2 linked regions of the Diceros bicornis minor genome follow. Each later gene encodes a partner of the first gene's protein in a complex. Links are inferred from orthologs where the notes say so. Each region holds a gene or a part of one and is shown in the gene's direction. Other genes may lie near its edges.

Region 1 (7,485 bases):
TCTGGCCACACTTCTGGGGTCTCTGGAGTCACACTGCTGATTGGCAGCGCAATCTCAGCTCTGAACCCCACTCACCCAAGTGATTTGGGGTTTTCAGATCCTGCTGGCCAGTCACTACAGAAAAATAAACAAGAGTGGACAAAAGGGGAGCATCAGAGTTAAACACTGGATTTTTTGCTTTCTGGTCCCAATTTACCTTTAAATTAAAGTGATTCCTATTCAAGTCTGAGGGTCCTTACTCAGCCTATAACAGTGGTTTCAACCGGGGGCGATTTTGCCCCCCAGAGGACATTTGGCAAAGTCTAGAGACATTTTTGGTTGCTACAACTAAGGGGATGCTACTGGCATCTAGTGGGTAGACGCTAGGGATGCTGTTAAGCATCCTACAGCGCACAGGACCGTCACCACAATAAAGAATTACCCAGCCCCCAGTGTCAACAATGCAGAGGCTAAGAAACCATGGTCTAGAGTAGATACGCTGACCAATTCTTAAATTCTTCCCTCTGGTATACTCCTCCCAGTCCCTTCTGAGCCCCACTGTTCTCTCCTTAATCTCTCCCGTTTTCCCCTCCAGTGCTCCAAATGGTCAAGATTCTATCACCAAATATATTTCTCCCCTTGAGGGTATTATCTGATCTAGTGATTTCATATCCTAAAATGGATGACTGTCACTTTGAATTTAGGGTCTTTACCTTTCTTCTAAACTTCAGACCCATCCTCCTAAGTAATAGGCTGTAAAAATTTCCATTCAGATCGCCCATCCTTCCTTCGCCTCTGCCATGTCTAAAACCAAACTGGCTCCACAACCGGGCCAACCCCCCCAATCCCACGTGTGTCCCTTCCTCTAAGTGCCAGATTTTGGCTCCTCCCCCTTTTGTGCCTTTCTAGCACAGAAGTTGCTAGAGGGTCCTTTAAGATCCCTCAAGTCCCTTCCTTCAGCCTTCCTGTTTCCTTCACTGTGTGGTTCTCTCTCCCTTAAAGGTCATGACCAGCCACAGCCCCCTTTGTTCTCTTCATCACGACCATCCTCTACACTGCCTCAACTTTTCTTAAAACTAGACTCAAATCTTCACTTGCAGGACAAAAAAACATTCAACATCTGCTCCATTTCCTACCAAAATAGCCTCAAAACTGCTTGCCCTGATGTTCCATGGTATCCTCAGAGAGATCCTATCTCATTTTTCCTGCCTTCTCTCCCACTACTCCCCCAGGACTCCACAAGGTAGCCTGTGCTCTTTACCCAGCCATGTGCCATGTTTCCCACCATGAGATCTTTGTTCGCGGTAGGCCAACGTCTCCCATCCCCCCACCTTCTAGTCATAGCCAAGGCGTCTATTCCTCCATGGAGGCCCATTTGAAACGCCATTTTCTCCATCAAGTCCCCCCCAGTTGGAGGTCTTTTCTTTCATTTTTATGCTGCTCCACCTTTAGGATGGAGGACTGGTATCTGCCCAGTCTATCCCCTCAATTCATGACATCTCCCGGCAAAGAACCAAGATACCAGAAAGAATGTTGAACACGGGTCCCACAGGCCCAGGAGGATGTCGGACAAAGAGACCCTCTACCTATTCCTAGATGAACAGTGCTTTGGGGCAGAGCCCAAGTGAAGCGGGCCAAGCACGAGGCCTGGCGAGAGCAAAGCGTCCCTTTGGGGCCCCGATCGCAGCCTCCGGAGCTCCGTCCCCAACGTCTACTGACCTTCCACTTCCGCAGGGCTCAGCATCCCTGGGGCCTCCACTCCTTATCCATCTGGGGCTGCTCCTCTGCATCGGGACAGTAAGCCCTCTCCCTCCTCAGGGTCCTTGCCCTCTACCCCAGGCCCTGGAAATCTTCTTCCTCCTGGCCTTGCCCCAGTGTCGGCCCCTTCTGTTAAGTGGGTTTGCCCACTGCCATCAGCGAGACCAAGGGTTGGCCCCTGCAAGCCCCCCGACCTCCCCTTCTAGCCGTTGTGACTTGTGGCATCCGGAAGAGTGACCCGACGGCGCCGGCCAGCCTCGTAGCATCCCAGGCCTGGCCGCCATACGCCCGCCCACCAACCGCTTCCAACCACGCCAGCAACACAACCTCTTAGGGCGTTCCAACACGGCGCCCCCTATTGGACCTCCCACTCGTATCCGGTTTCCGGTGCGATGCCCCCTGCTCATTCGCCGGGCAGCCTTGATTGACGTGACCCCAGCCCAATGGCTGACCCAGCGCTGAGGTCTGAGGGGGGTAAGTTGACTCTTGCAACCCACTTGGCCCATTCAGTGGATGCCCAAATGTTTGAGCCATTGCCCGTGGGGATAGTTGGCCAAAGTTTGAACGAAAGTTCAGTGTTGGCATGTGGAAGTGTGTAGACACATAAAGCTGAGATGATACGCCTTTGGGGGGCCCCAAACATTACCTAGGGTCTGACTTTGTCAGCTGTCCACCGTGCAGCGTGGCCACGTGGATGGTGGATGCGGGTGCAGTGATGCGCTGTGGCTGTGGTCCTCTCGTTCTAAGAGGGATGCGTTAGACTTAACGAGATTGGACCGTGCGTGGTTCGCCCGCCTGCGGTTCGTAGATACAGCGATCCAGATGGTGTGCCCCGCTCGCCGCAGCCCACCCGATGTAACACCCATACCACCATCCTTCCCCTGTCCGCAGGAGGGGCGACCGCCTGCCTCCCTGCCTAGCTGCCTTGCACCCAAACGTGGCTGGCAGGTCCATGTCACCCGCTAGTGAGACAGACCTGATGCCCATGTCCCGGGTTTTACGTGATCTGCAAACAGCAATTTTTTCCCGGGACTCAAATCCTTCCGCAGACCCCAGACCCAGAGCAGTACGCGCATACGCCCCGAGCCCACCCAGGTGGTGCGGTATTTACCCCGGCAGGCTCTGAGACCACCACGCGTTACGGCGACGGGAGAGCAGCCGGGAGACCGCTGGGTTTGTGGCCGGGCTTCGTGCCGCCTCAGCGGACTCTAGCAGGGGAAAAGTAAAGTGGCTGCCCTGGGAGACCCATAGCGAGAGGACAGAGGATGGAGTGGGGCTGGAGAGGAACTAGAGATGCTGACTGACCGATCCTGTAGCCGGTGCCGAGGCTCGGAGCAGCAAGCGGCTGCCGGCGCGGCACGGTGTCTTTGGGTTCAGTGCGCATAGAGTTGTCCAGTTTCTCAGACCACCCTAAACTAGCCATAAATCCCAACTGAAATCCCCTTTAACCCTTCCCGACAACAGTGGGACTCCCAGAACTCTGAGGCCTCCCCTCCGTGGGGTCCTGGTGGACGTCCCGCGCCCCCCCCACCCCTCTTCGGTACCGCGGCGGCTACCGCTTAGAGGGTCTCCGTGGTACGCGCCTGAGACCCTCTTATTCTCCTGAATCATCGTCCACATAAACGGAAGAGAACCCTGCCTGCGCCACCCTAGGCTACTGCGGAGACCCCTAGAGTGTGGTGGGGATGGGGACATCAAAGTGCTTTACAGGAGCCAGCCTCGGCAAGCCGGCAAACAAAAGCTGCAGAATCAGTGGAAAGTACCCCAAGGCGTTTTAAAAACAAATTGAGTGTGCACATTTGGCAGCCCCTCGCCCCTCGCCTCCTGTCCGCCCCACTGGTGGGCTCACGACCACCTGTCGCATCCCCGTCCCGCGCCCTCACCCCCTTCCCAGTCGCCGAAAGCCTTGCGCTCCGGACTTGGGGCTCAGGATCGGAGGCTGCCCAGGGCTGGGGGCTGCGGCTCAGGGGTTCAGGGGTATCCTGAGGTAATGAAACCCTCCTGCAGTCCCCCCCTCCCCCCGAGAAGAGTCAGTTGGGTCTGGGAGGGAGGGTTTCAGCTCCTGCGCTCAAGCAGCCCGGGGCCCACGTCTTGCGTCACGTGGCCAGCAACGCAGGAGAGCTCTCTCGCTGGCCAGGGGAGAAGAGAGGAGAAACACTCCAAATCAGTCAGGGAGAGGAGTGGAAGGAGCCAAAACGTCCCTGCGAGGCCTGCGCTCATCAGCCCCCTTACCCAAAGTCCGGGGCTGCCGGCGCCAGGATCCGGCTCCGGGAGCCGCCTGGGCACCAGGGCCGGCGTCCCCTGGTGGCAGAGAGAGAGCACTACGAACGATTTTCGGACCGAATCGGCACGCTCCTCAGATCCAAGCAGGCGGGGCTGGCCTGGAGCAAAGAAAGAAAGAGAGAGAGGAGGGGACCAGGGGAGGCCAAGTGGGGGCCAGGGGGCAGCCTCAGGGGATAAAAAGTGGCCAGGAAGGAGACAAGACTCTACCAGCAACATATAGAGTTGCTTCTGCTACCATCTAGGGTTTGAGGCCCTGAATGCCCCAGACCTCACAGAGGTTTGGAAAGTGAAATCGGAGAACTTTCTAGTATTTTGATTTTTTTTTTTTTGAAAATATTTTTTTCACCCTAGTTTGGTTGGGTGCTCCGTCTTACGGGGCCCCAAGTTTATTTTAAGAGTCCGCCACCGTGTTATGGGCGTGCGCAACTGCCTCGACGGCAATAATATGTCAGGACAACGCCATATCCCCCTTGAACTCGGGGAACAGCCCGAGCAACCATCTTTGGAGGCCCCAGGGGCAGCTGCCCCCAGTGCTGGGCCTGGCGCAGCCGAAGAGATGGAGACCGAACCGCCTCACAGCGAGCCCATCCCCATCCAGATTGAAGGTGAGGCCTGTGGACCCCCAGAGGTCTCCAGGCCCAACTTCCAGAGCCTCAGCCAAGCCATCGAGGAAGTCGGAGCCCATGGAGGCTACAGCCCACCTCCTGAGGAAGCCATGCCCTTCGAGGTTGAGCAGCCCAGCATGGGAAGCTTCTGGCCTACCCTGGAGCAGCCTGGAGACACCCCTGGGGCCCATGCAGGCCTTGAGGCCTTCTGCCCAGCACTCCTGGAGCCCGGAGCCTTCGGTGATGCCAGCCCAGGCCTGGGAGGCTACAGCCCTCCACCTGAAGAAGCCATGCCCTTTGAGTTTGAGCAGCCTGGCCAGGGAGGCTGCAGCCAACCTCTCCTGCAGATCTCAGACCTTGCTCCAGGAGGCCCAGGTGCCGGGGTCTTCGGCGCTTCTCCCGAGGAGCCCCCAGCCCTCAGACCTCCAAACTCGGGCTTCAGAGGAAGCTGCAGCCCTCCCCCTGAGGAGGCTATGCCATTTGAGTTTGATGGAGCAGCCTTTGGGGACGAGAGCCCACCCCCTGGGCTCCCCCGAGCTATCCCACAAGTCGACGGCGGTGATGGCGGCCAGGTCACGGCAGTCGCGGTCCCGAGTGCGGTCCTCCTCGCTCCCGCCGCGAACGAGCCCCCCCTCTGGGTCCCAGGCGCCCTCGGCAGCCCATCCCGAGAGGCTGTCAGACCTCCTTCACACTTCGTGGGCGACAGCCCCCCGATGGAGATCTCCGGACCCCCGCTCGAGATTGGCAGCGCCCCCGTTGGGGTCGACGACACTCCCGTCAACATGGACAGCCCCCCAATCGCGCTTGACGACCCGCCCATCGAGGTCTCCCGAGCCCCAGTTAAGAGAGAGCAAGCAGAGGGAGAGGGACCCCCAGTTGAGGGAGAAGCAGGAGAGATGGAAGGAGGCTCAGCCGCCGCTGCCGCGGAGGGAGGAAAAGTCCCCTCTCCCGGGGAAGGAGCCCCTGCCGCTGGGGCCGCTCCCGCGGTCTCTGCCGCTCCTGCCGCCGGGGCAGCCCCAGCCGCTCCTGCCGCTCCAGCCGCCAGGGCAGTCCCTGCCGCCCCAGCCGCTCCTGCCGCCGGGACAGCCCCTGCCGCTCGGGCAGCCGCTGCTGCCCCTGCCTCCGGAGCCCGACCCAAGCTCCGTTTCCTTAGACCCCCCAGCCCCGAGATCCAGGTTGCCGATCCGCCTACTCCGCAGCCTACTCGCGCGTTTGCCTGGCGGGGCAGGTCTGAGCGCGGCCGCGACGACGACGAGGGGTCGGTCAGCAGCAGCGGAGACGAATCCGACGATGGGACCTCCGGGTGCCACCGTTGTGTACAGCCCCGGCGAAATCGCCGCCGCCGAAAGCCCCAGCGCAACTTGCTCCGCAACTTCCTCTCGCAAGCCTTCGGGGGCTGCTTCGGCCGATCTGAGAGCCCCCAGCCCAAAGCCCCGCGCAGCCCCAAGGTCAAGAAGGTTCCTCTGGCGGAGAAGCGCAGACAAATGCGCAAGGAAGCCCTGGAGAAGCGTGCTCAGAAGCGCGCAGAGAAGAAACGCAGCAAGCTCATCGACAAGCAACTCCAGGACGAAAAGATGGGTTACATGTGTACGCATCGCCTGCTGCTTCTAGGTAATGCGGCGGACTCTGCCCGTGGGGAGCAGGGCCGCCCGGGGATCTCGGGAGGGGGTGGCAGGGCTGCCCGGTGGGGCTTGGGGCCTGGCAGCGGGAGGAGGAGGTCTGGGCAAAAGCAGGAAAAGCCTGCTAGAAAGTTCCAGCGAGGGGCCCTAACTTTGCCCTGGGAGCGGGAGAGGGGCTCGGGTGGGCTTGGGTGGTCGAAGTATGTGCCCTTTAGGGAGAAAAGTGGTGCCGTACAACACTGAGGGTCGTTTCCAGCTGGACAAGCCAGCGCCAGCGACCGTAAGATGCCGCCGAGTCCTGGGGTGGGGGCCGGCAAGAAAGGCGGGGGCTTCAGGTGAGCCTGGCACTGCCGCGGAGGGGCCCTGGGGTTTCCCTGGCTAGGCTGGTTGGGGCCACCGTGGGTTGGGGTCGTTGGGGAAGGTGCGCCCCCGCCTCGCCTGGCACGGCTGCTTGGACTCAGATAGCTTGTCGTTGGTGTGTGTTGGTGTCCATATTGTGTCCGCCTGTGCATGATATGCTCAAGTGTCCTCCAATTCCCATCTCCCCGGCATCCCCAAATTACCCGCCGATTGTGTACTTGTACCGGGGAATGGGCTGTCTTGTGTTTTGCGCCATGGTGCCGGCAAAAACTTTCCGTGTTCGCACACTGTGGTGGTACCTGTGCGCTGGCGCTCTGCAGCGGGCGGCGCGAAAAATGCGGAGGAGAAGGTGGTGGGATATCTTGGGTAACAAGTTGGGCCACTGGCTGGGAGGAGAGGGGGCCGCCTCCCGCTGGCCTCCATAACCTTTTTTCTGTATGTCTTTTCTCTCTTTTTTCCCTTTGCGCTAAGCGTTTCCTCACTTCTCATTCGTTCGCCAAACCCTCCCGCCTTTACGGTTGAAAAACCAGACACTCAGGTATCTGGGGCGTCCGGGGCCGCACACGTAAATTTGGTCTTTTGCACACATTCAGCTCACCTGATGGGGGGATGGGAGGAGGAGGGGGAAAAAACGCTTAACCTGCTGTAAGCAAATTTGGATCCAAAACCACAGTGGGCTGGTTCCAAGAGGGTGGGCGTGGCTATGTTTAAAAAATATGAAATTTTTTTCCTAGGGAAGAGCCCGAGGTAAGCCAATCATTTACACTTTTATAAAGAGCACGGTAGGAGGGGCTTGGTTTAAAAAGGGAGGGGTTATGCGTTGTGAGTGGAATGCCGTGTCTCGTGTTTGAAATGCAATTAAAATAAAACTTGAAAAAAAA
Region 2 (7,586 bases), on another chromosome or scaffold:
AACCAATTCCCTATGGTTAGACATTTGGATTATTTTCAGTCTTTTACGATGATACGCAATCCTGCAATGAACATTTTCATGCATATCTTGGTGATATCCATGATTATTTTCTCAGGAAAAATTCTTGGAGTATGGAATAAGAAACTGAGCATTTTTAAAGTTCTCAACATCTGGCTGCAAATTGCCCTCCCGGAAGGCCGGAGGGAAATTGACACTTCCTCCCACACCCTGCACAGCAAATCTACATGCTTTACCTTAGGGGGATGGAGGGACTGGGTCTTGTCATTCCAGCTTAATGTCTGCCTTTCTTGCTCACATTCCTTTAAACGAAGCAGCTCTAGAGCATGCCAGTCTAACTAAATTTAGACTGGAAAGTCAGACTAGCTGTCCAAGGCCAGCAGCTTTGGAATTGAGTCAGGGCAAGCTGGAAGGGTCCATTTTTATAACTCTAAATAACGCGCGTGCTACGTGGCCCACTTTGGCCCTGAAGGATGCACTTCTGCTCTCACACACTGAGCAGGAATTAAGACGAAGGAAGGGCCATCTTGCCTTCTTTGGGCAGCTAAATGAAAAATGACTACTTAGGGCCGGCCCCGTGGCTTAGCGGTTAAGCGCACGCGCTCCGCTGCTGGCAGCCCGGGTTCGGATCCCGGGAGCGCACCGCTTCTCCGGCCATGCTGGGGCCGCGTCCCACATACAGCAACTGGAAGGATGTGCAGCTATGACATACAACTATCTACCGGGGCTTTGGGGGGAAAAAATAAATAAATAAAATTAAAAAAAAAAAAGCAAAATGACTACTTGGATCTCTTGGCACCCAGAGTGCAGAGTCCCCAGAGGAAACGGCTGCGTTCATAATACCACAGGTAGGGAGCGGGGCTTGGCACTCTGCCCACATCTACCAGTCGATAGCTTGTTGACCAGTCTGGGAGCCCAACATAAGTGGCATTCATTTCCTCTGGGTTTTGCAATTTTCTAGTCCTCCCTTTGTAAATGCAAAGATAACTCCCTTGGTTAGTAGGGGATCTAAAAGTTCTCAGCTAAGACTTTAACAGGAATTTGTTTCAGGCCAGGAGATATGGGTTCTATGACTGATCAGCTGGGTTCTGTGGCTGGTTAGGTGGGTCACCTTAGGCAAGTCCCTTCCCCTCTCTGGACCTTCTTAGTTTCCCCATGTGAACAAGGAAGCAATTGGCCTGAATTTGGTGAATTCTGTTTCCCAGAGGAGAGGAAAGAAGGGAAGGGACTCAGTTCCTGAGCACCCACCAGAGCCAAACACTTTGCACACACGAGCGGATTTAATCCCAACAGCAGTTCTGTGAGGAAGCAGACATCTGTGCCTGTCCAGCCCCAGTGCCCATTATTCTGCTAAAAGCACCCTGATTTCCTTTTAAAGAACCATCCTTCACCCACTCCTAGTCCCTGTGACTTAGGAGGGGCTGACCTCACCCCCTGACTCTTGGTGGGGGCATGTGACTCAGGCTTCGCCAATCAGAGCAACCAGGATGGCTTCAGGGTTGGGCATGTGACCCAGGCCAGGCAGTGGGAGCTGGGGCTGGGATTTTTGCTGGAAGTTTTGGGAAGGAAGTAATCGCTTGGACTTGAGGTCCCTTAATTGGCCATTTCTGCCTCCATGTGGAGAGACCCAGCCTGCTAACAAAACTGACAGAAAAGAAAACAGACAAGACACAAAGGGAGACAGATTTATGACAACTTCCCTTGAGATTCTGGCATGGACTGTGCCCGAATTTAGAACTACCTCCTAAATTTTTCAGTTCAAAGCCCTTTTTGGCTGAAGCTGGTTATAATCAGGTTTACATTGACTGCAGTCAAAAGAATTGTCATTAAAATCCTGGACGTGACATAGGCATTATTATTCTCAGTTTACAGATGAGGAAACTGAGGCTCAGAGAAGCAAAGTAAGCACAGAGCTAACAAGTGGCAGAGCAGATATTTTTAATCTACTTCTTCTTAATCTGTACCTCTAATCTCTACTCAGTGGCTCAAGTGGTTCTCCTTTTCTGACTTTCTTCCACAAATCACAGAAGTAGGAACAGGCTCATGGAGCCAGACTGACCCAATTTCCAGACTTGGTTCAGCTGCTTCCTATCTGTCTGATCTTGGAATGACACACTGCCTGTATACTCTGAACAAGGCTCTTCACCTCTCTGGTCCTCGGTTTTCTCATCCGCAAAATAGGATAACAGTTCCTGCCTCATGGAATTTTTGTGAGGAGTAGATGAATTAGATTACATAACGCTCTTAGAACAGGCCTGGCACACAAGAGGTGTGACATGACGGCTAGCTATTATTTTTCTTCTGCTGCATGTATATCGTTAGTAAGCTGGCTACCCCCTCTTCACCCCACACACTCAGGATATGGTCTGAGTTATCTCATGATACATCAGTTCCAAATGCCACAACAAAACAGCACACCCTGGTCACCAGGGCTTCAAATAATGTCTGACATACTGTTTCCAAAATGCTGATGTTTCTAAAAATGCTGATCACTATGGGCTTAGCAGGCCTAAAAACAGCCCAGAAAGTGAAACTTTGGAATTTCAAATAATCAAGCCTTTGCTGAATTGCAGAAAGGAGAGAGAGAGGGGATGGATGTGGACCTAGACATTTCTGAGGGTTGTTCCCCCTCACTCCTGTCAGCCCTACAGCTGTAGAGAGTGGAAACCCATTTCCTTCAGAGTTTATAACAGTTACTCCCCTGAGTGCTAACTCAGTACCAAGGAGTGTACGGTCTGGTAAGGTGTAGAAGATGGAGGCCCTGGAGAATCACCAAGGAATGGGAGGGAGTGGACTGTGGACTCAGAGTGAGTCCTGGTTGTGGAGTTATGCTAACATACAGGGGGCTGGTCAGGGAAACAAAGGGGGAATCCCTTGCCTCTCTGACTCATTAAGGTCAGAGCTGGCACCTAGGATAGAAACATGGCCATGTTTCTATTATGTCAGCTATCCTGAGTCCGCAGTCTCCTATCTCTGGGCATCACCATCAGCCCTTTAATCTCCACCTTGCAGACAGGCTCAGTGGTCTATGCTACCATTTATGGAGCACTTGCTAAGACCTTTACATAAATGATCTCATGGAACTTTCCAGCGGCCCCAGTGAGAAGAAGATTACAGAACACTACTATGTCTTTGAACTTTGTAGCCAGGCTGCATAGGGTGGATTCCCAGTCCTCCTGTGTGACCTTGAGTAAGTTACTTAACCTCTCTGTACCCCCATTTCCTCCTCTGTAAACTAGGGATAATAATAGTTCCTACTTATTCAGGGTGTTATCAGGATTAAATGAGTAAGCACCTGTAGCACTTAGAAGAGTACATGGCACAATGACAGCTGTTTTTATGAACGCTCGTTTTACAGATGTGGACCCTGAGGCCAGAAAGAGGGATCACTCACTTACCACACACAGGTGGTGAAGATGGACCTCAAATTAGCTCCACAGGATCCCACAGCCACTGAGTGGAAGTGCCCTCTACTCAGAGGAGGCTAAGACACCCCCATGAAATATCCCCAAACCCACACTCCAGCCATCCTCCCCCCAAGTCCCTTCCTCTCAAACACCTTCCTCTCCCTCTGAGCTTGGGTGTCTCTTTTGAAATGCTGAGATAAGATCTGAAACCATAATTGTTTAGAGCTTCAAGTGGAGTTTTCCTGGCACTGAGGAGAGAGAGAACACTCTACCTCTCTCCCCCAGCTCCAGAAACTAAGGCAGCCAGTAAGAATTCTCAGGCTCCCAGAGTCAGGGGGCAGCGGCTCCCGGGGACTTGCAGAAGACCCACATCCCCACCCTCACTCTCGCAACACTGCCCAACTTTCCGCTCAGTCAGTCACAGCATGCTAACTGAAACACATCAGTTGTCAAACTTGAGCTCATCTGGAGGGCGTAGGGAGAAACTGACGAGGGGTGTGGAGTTCTTGACCTTGGGGGGTCTCTCTAGTTCCCCACGAAACCTCTAGGGATAGGGTCCCTATCTGTCTGCCTGGCTTTGTCCGTCTGTCTTTGTCTATTTCCGGCTCTCTAGCAGGGATAAGGGGAGGTGGGGTATCACTACATGTCTTTGTCTCTCAGTGGGTCTGTGGTTGACATTGTCTCGTCTCTGACTATTTCTCTCTCTGCTTCTCTGTCCTGACTTGTCTATTCGTCTGTCTGCCCTCAGGTGTATGTGTGTGTGGCGGGGAGGGGGACGTGGGGCGGTTCTCGCCAAGGTTCTGACCCTTCTTTCACCTCTCTCTCCAAACCCCGGGAGCCGCAGAGAGCCCCTGCGCAGAGCCGGAGGCTGGGTTGCCGGGCGGGAGCCGCTCCGACCCCGGCGCGGGACGCGGGAGAGGGTGTCCGCGCCAGAAGCGCCCCCTCCCGGCGTGAGGGCGGCCCTAGGAGCGCGAGCCCGGTGCGGGGGCGCTGCAGGCCCGCCGGCCCGGGTGCCCGCCTTCCCCCCCTTCCTCCCCGGGCTGGCCCTCTCCGGCGCGGCTCCTCCTCCGGCGCCCCGCCTCCCAGGTCCGCTCCCCCGGCGCCCCCGCCCCCGCCGCCGCCGCCGCGCACGGAGCAGCCTGGTCGCCGCGGTCGCCGCGCCGCCAAACTTTCCCGGGAGCCGGCTCGGGCGCGGGTGAGTCAGAGCAGGGCGCGGGCAGGCGCCCAGCGGGGCCGCGGCGGCGAGGCCAGGCTGCGCGCCGGCCGGGCGTGGGTGCGGGCGTCCCTGAGCAGCGGCAGAGACCCCCGGAGCCGGCTGGCTTGAGGAGGGCGCGCGGGGGGACCCAGGGACATGCGCGGCTGGGGTAGGGCCCCGTAGCGCGGCTCCCCGGCACCTCCCTGACATTCAGTCCTGGCCCCAGCGCCCCGACGCGCAGACACCTGTGGCTTCACGTGGCTTCGCCGGGGTGCACGCCCCGAGCGGCTGCCTCCGGGCGCCGACGCCGAGAGGGCGAGGCTCCAGTTTCGCAGGGCTGGCTCAGGCTCCGAGTTTGATGCTAACCGTAGTCCCAGCCCATCTGTTGAGTGCATTCGTTGTGCCAGGCTCTGGGCATCCATTCTTTCTATTCTCCCTGTAACTCGGTGAACCAGGTGTTATACCTGTTTTACAGAGGAGGAAACTGAGACTCAGAGAGGGAAAGTTGTGCCCAGGAGCACCAGCGAGTCAAGGGGAGAGCCAGGGTTTTGAGGCTGAGTCGGCCTGACCGAAACCGCGTAACCACACGCGGGCGAGCCGCAGGCTCGGCGTCGCCAGGGGTCGGGGGGTGGGAAGCGTCAAGGCCACCGCCCGCGGTCTCCTGCAGCACGGCTGCAAGCCCAGGCGGGGCGACCATCTCCTCCTCATTGTACCGCGCCAGGAGCCCTTGAAAAGCTAGTGGCATTTCTGCCAGGGAGTGGATTGTAGTGGCAGAAGCGCATCGGGGCTGCTCTTTCAGGGCAAAAGTGAGAGGATACCACATTCTGGAAGTTGCTCTGGATTCTTCTGGAAGGAGCCAAGGAAGTCAGGAGCTGGAGCGCAGCAGTTCTTCACGGAAGCCACTTTCTCTCTGCGATTACCCCTTTGCTCCCCGCCCCCCTCCTCCCCCCCCCCGAAGAAATCCGACCCGAATCCCTTAATCTCTCTGAGGTGTCCACTCTGGAAGCCTGTAGTGTAGAGATACGCCAGGCAGGGTCGCTGACCTCCGGCAGGGGGCTCTCACCTGAGACCCAGAACCGGAGGGGCACAGCCCTGGGAGTACTGTGTGAGCAAGATCCTAGGTGCTTGGGGAACTCATTCCGTGATGGGGGGGTAGGCCCCTGTGACAGGAGCACAGTGGAGTGTGTCTCCAGAGCTTGAAGGACAGGGGGGGTGGGGGCTCTGATGGGGAGGGGCTTGAATGCCCGGTTTTGGCTCTTGGAGGCAGCCAGGAACCAGCAGAGACCGGGACGGGGAGCAAGCGTGGACCAATCAGAGTATCCTTATGCATTATCTCTTTTAGTTCTCGCAGCAGCCTTACAAGGTGGGCACTATTATTACTAGCCTCATTGAAAGATAGTGTGTTGAGGCTCAGAGAGGTTAAGTAACTTGCCTGAGGTTGCCTGGCTGGTCTGTGGCAGAGTTGGGATTTGAACATAGGTCTTACTTGATTCCTTCCAGATTTTCAGCTCAGCTCGAGCTGCCAAGGGGACCTTGGGTCCTTCCTGCTTGTGGCTTGCAGCAGCAAAGGTGAAGAATAGAGAGATTCCAGGCAGCAGGGTTCCAGGATGCCCCTGCATGGCTCTCCTCTCTCTCTGATAAGTGTCCTGCGGGAGGCCTGTTGCTGAGTGGGTTAGCACTCACAGGAAGCCTTGACAATCCCGTGTAAATACCCTAATATGATTCGGGGCTTGCTGGACCCTCACACGCAAGCCCAAAGCTGCCTGAGGCTGTCTGGCTGTCTGGAGAGGTATTTCCCCTGGTGGAGGGAGAGTCTCTAGGGAAGCTGGGTACAGTTTTCCAGTGTGACAGAGAATCTCTCCAAGGCGAGCACTGCCTGTCCGTGATTTCAGAGCTGGGTGGAGGCTGGAGCTGCCTGCCAAGGACCCCGTAGCCCAGAGGAGTGTGGGCAGTCGTGGGCTAGGCGTGGTCTCTCCTGGCCCTCAGCTGGGTAGGAAGAACTTGTGTCTGAACTTCCTCCCCTTGGACTGGCTCAGAATTCTGGGTTCGTGTTCTCACTTTCCTTTCCAATCAAGGAGTGCCTGGTGGAATTGGTGTGGCCTTTCCATAACAAAGAGGAGGCAGAGCAAAGAGATCGAGCTGGCTCCAATCCCAGCGCTGTCACTTAGGAGCTCTGTGGCCTTGGGCAAGTTGCTACACCTCTCTGTTCCTCAGTTTCCCCATAGCACCTTCCTCACTGGGTTGGCGAGAGAATTAATTGTGTTCATGTGCATAAAGCACTCAAATGGTGCCATGTGATACATGAAAGAGCAATTCATTTATTTTTTTATTATTTTTTTTTGTGAGGAAGATCCGCCCTGAGCTAACATCCATGCCAATCCTCCTCTTTTTTGCTGAGGAAGACTGGCCCTGGGCTAACATCTGTGCCCATCTTCCTCCACTTTATGTGGGACGCCGCCACAGAATGGCCTGACAAGTGGTGCGTCGGTGCGTGCCCGGGATCCGAACCTGTGAACCCTAGGCCGCTGCCGCAGAGTGCGCGCACTTACCCGCTGCGCCACCAGGCCGGCCCCTGAAAGAGCAATTTAAACTTTAGTTGTCATTATTGTTACTATTAAAGTCACACAGGTCCAGCTTTGTATCCTGGCCCTGCTACCTGCAGGCTGCCCAGTCTCTGCGAGCCTCTCGCTTTCTCATCTGTAAAGTGGGAGTAGGTCTCGTGTTGGATATAATCTGTGTCCCAGAGGTCTTAGTGCAGTCTCAAGCTTTAAATAGCCTAAAACCTTTCAATAGTCTCAGTGCGGACCTATTTACAGTGCTGGCGCTCTCCTAGGGACTCAGCAAATGCTGGGCGTTACCACGATTATCACTGTTGTGGCTAACCCCACTCCTTCACCTGTGGCTTGAACTTCATGCTTTGCGTTGGTTCTGAGGGGCATGGATTTGGGCCAGTTTTCTGGCTTGTG

The links. The genes of interacting proteins can lie anywhere in the genome.
Region 2: the proteins of GNAS (region 1) and HRH1 are in contact, whole or in part, in a cryo-EM structure (PDB 9LRB), measured with the Homo sapiens proteins. The link is inferred for Diceros bicornis minor from reciprocal best matches to the Homo sapiens genes GNAS and HRH1. Residues at the interface, in NP_000507.1 of Homo sapiens: Gln35, Arg38, Ala39, His41, Lys216, Val217, Asn218, Phe376, Cys379, Arg380, Asp381, Ile383, Gln384, Arg385, His387, Leu388, Gln390, Tyr391, Glu392, Leu393, Leu394; in NP_000852.1 of Homo sapiens: Asp124, Arg125, Ser128, Val129, Gln130, Pro132, Leu133, Arg134, Leu136, Lys137, Arg139, Thr140, Ile213, Ala216, Val217, Gln219, His220, Cys221, His223, Lys412, Ala413, Gln416, Leu417, Cys471, Asn472.

Annotation. Positions count from the first base shown.
Region 1 is NC_080758.1:4,818,182-4,825,666, reverse strand, and holds the start of GNAS (guanine nucleotide-binding protein G(s) subunit alpha isoforms XLas), read left to right. Parts: upstream 1-4,417; 5' UTR 4,418-4,432; coding exon 4,433-6,236; intron 6,237-7,485. UniProt on the Homo sapiens protein: Guanine nucleotide-binding proteins (G proteins) function as transducers in numerous signaling pathways controlled by G protein-coupled receptors (GPCRs).
Region 2 is NC_080741.1:83,884,588-83,892,173, forward strand, and holds the start of HRH1 (histamine H1 receptor), read left to right. Parts: upstream 1-4,543; 5' UTR 4,544-4,620; intron 4,621-4,865; exon of another isoform or gene 4,866-5,084; intron 5,085-5,438; exon of another isoform or gene 5,439-5,470; intron 5,471-7,586. UniProt on the Homo sapiens protein: G-protein-coupled receptor for histamine, a biogenic amine that functions as an immune modulator and a neurotransmitter.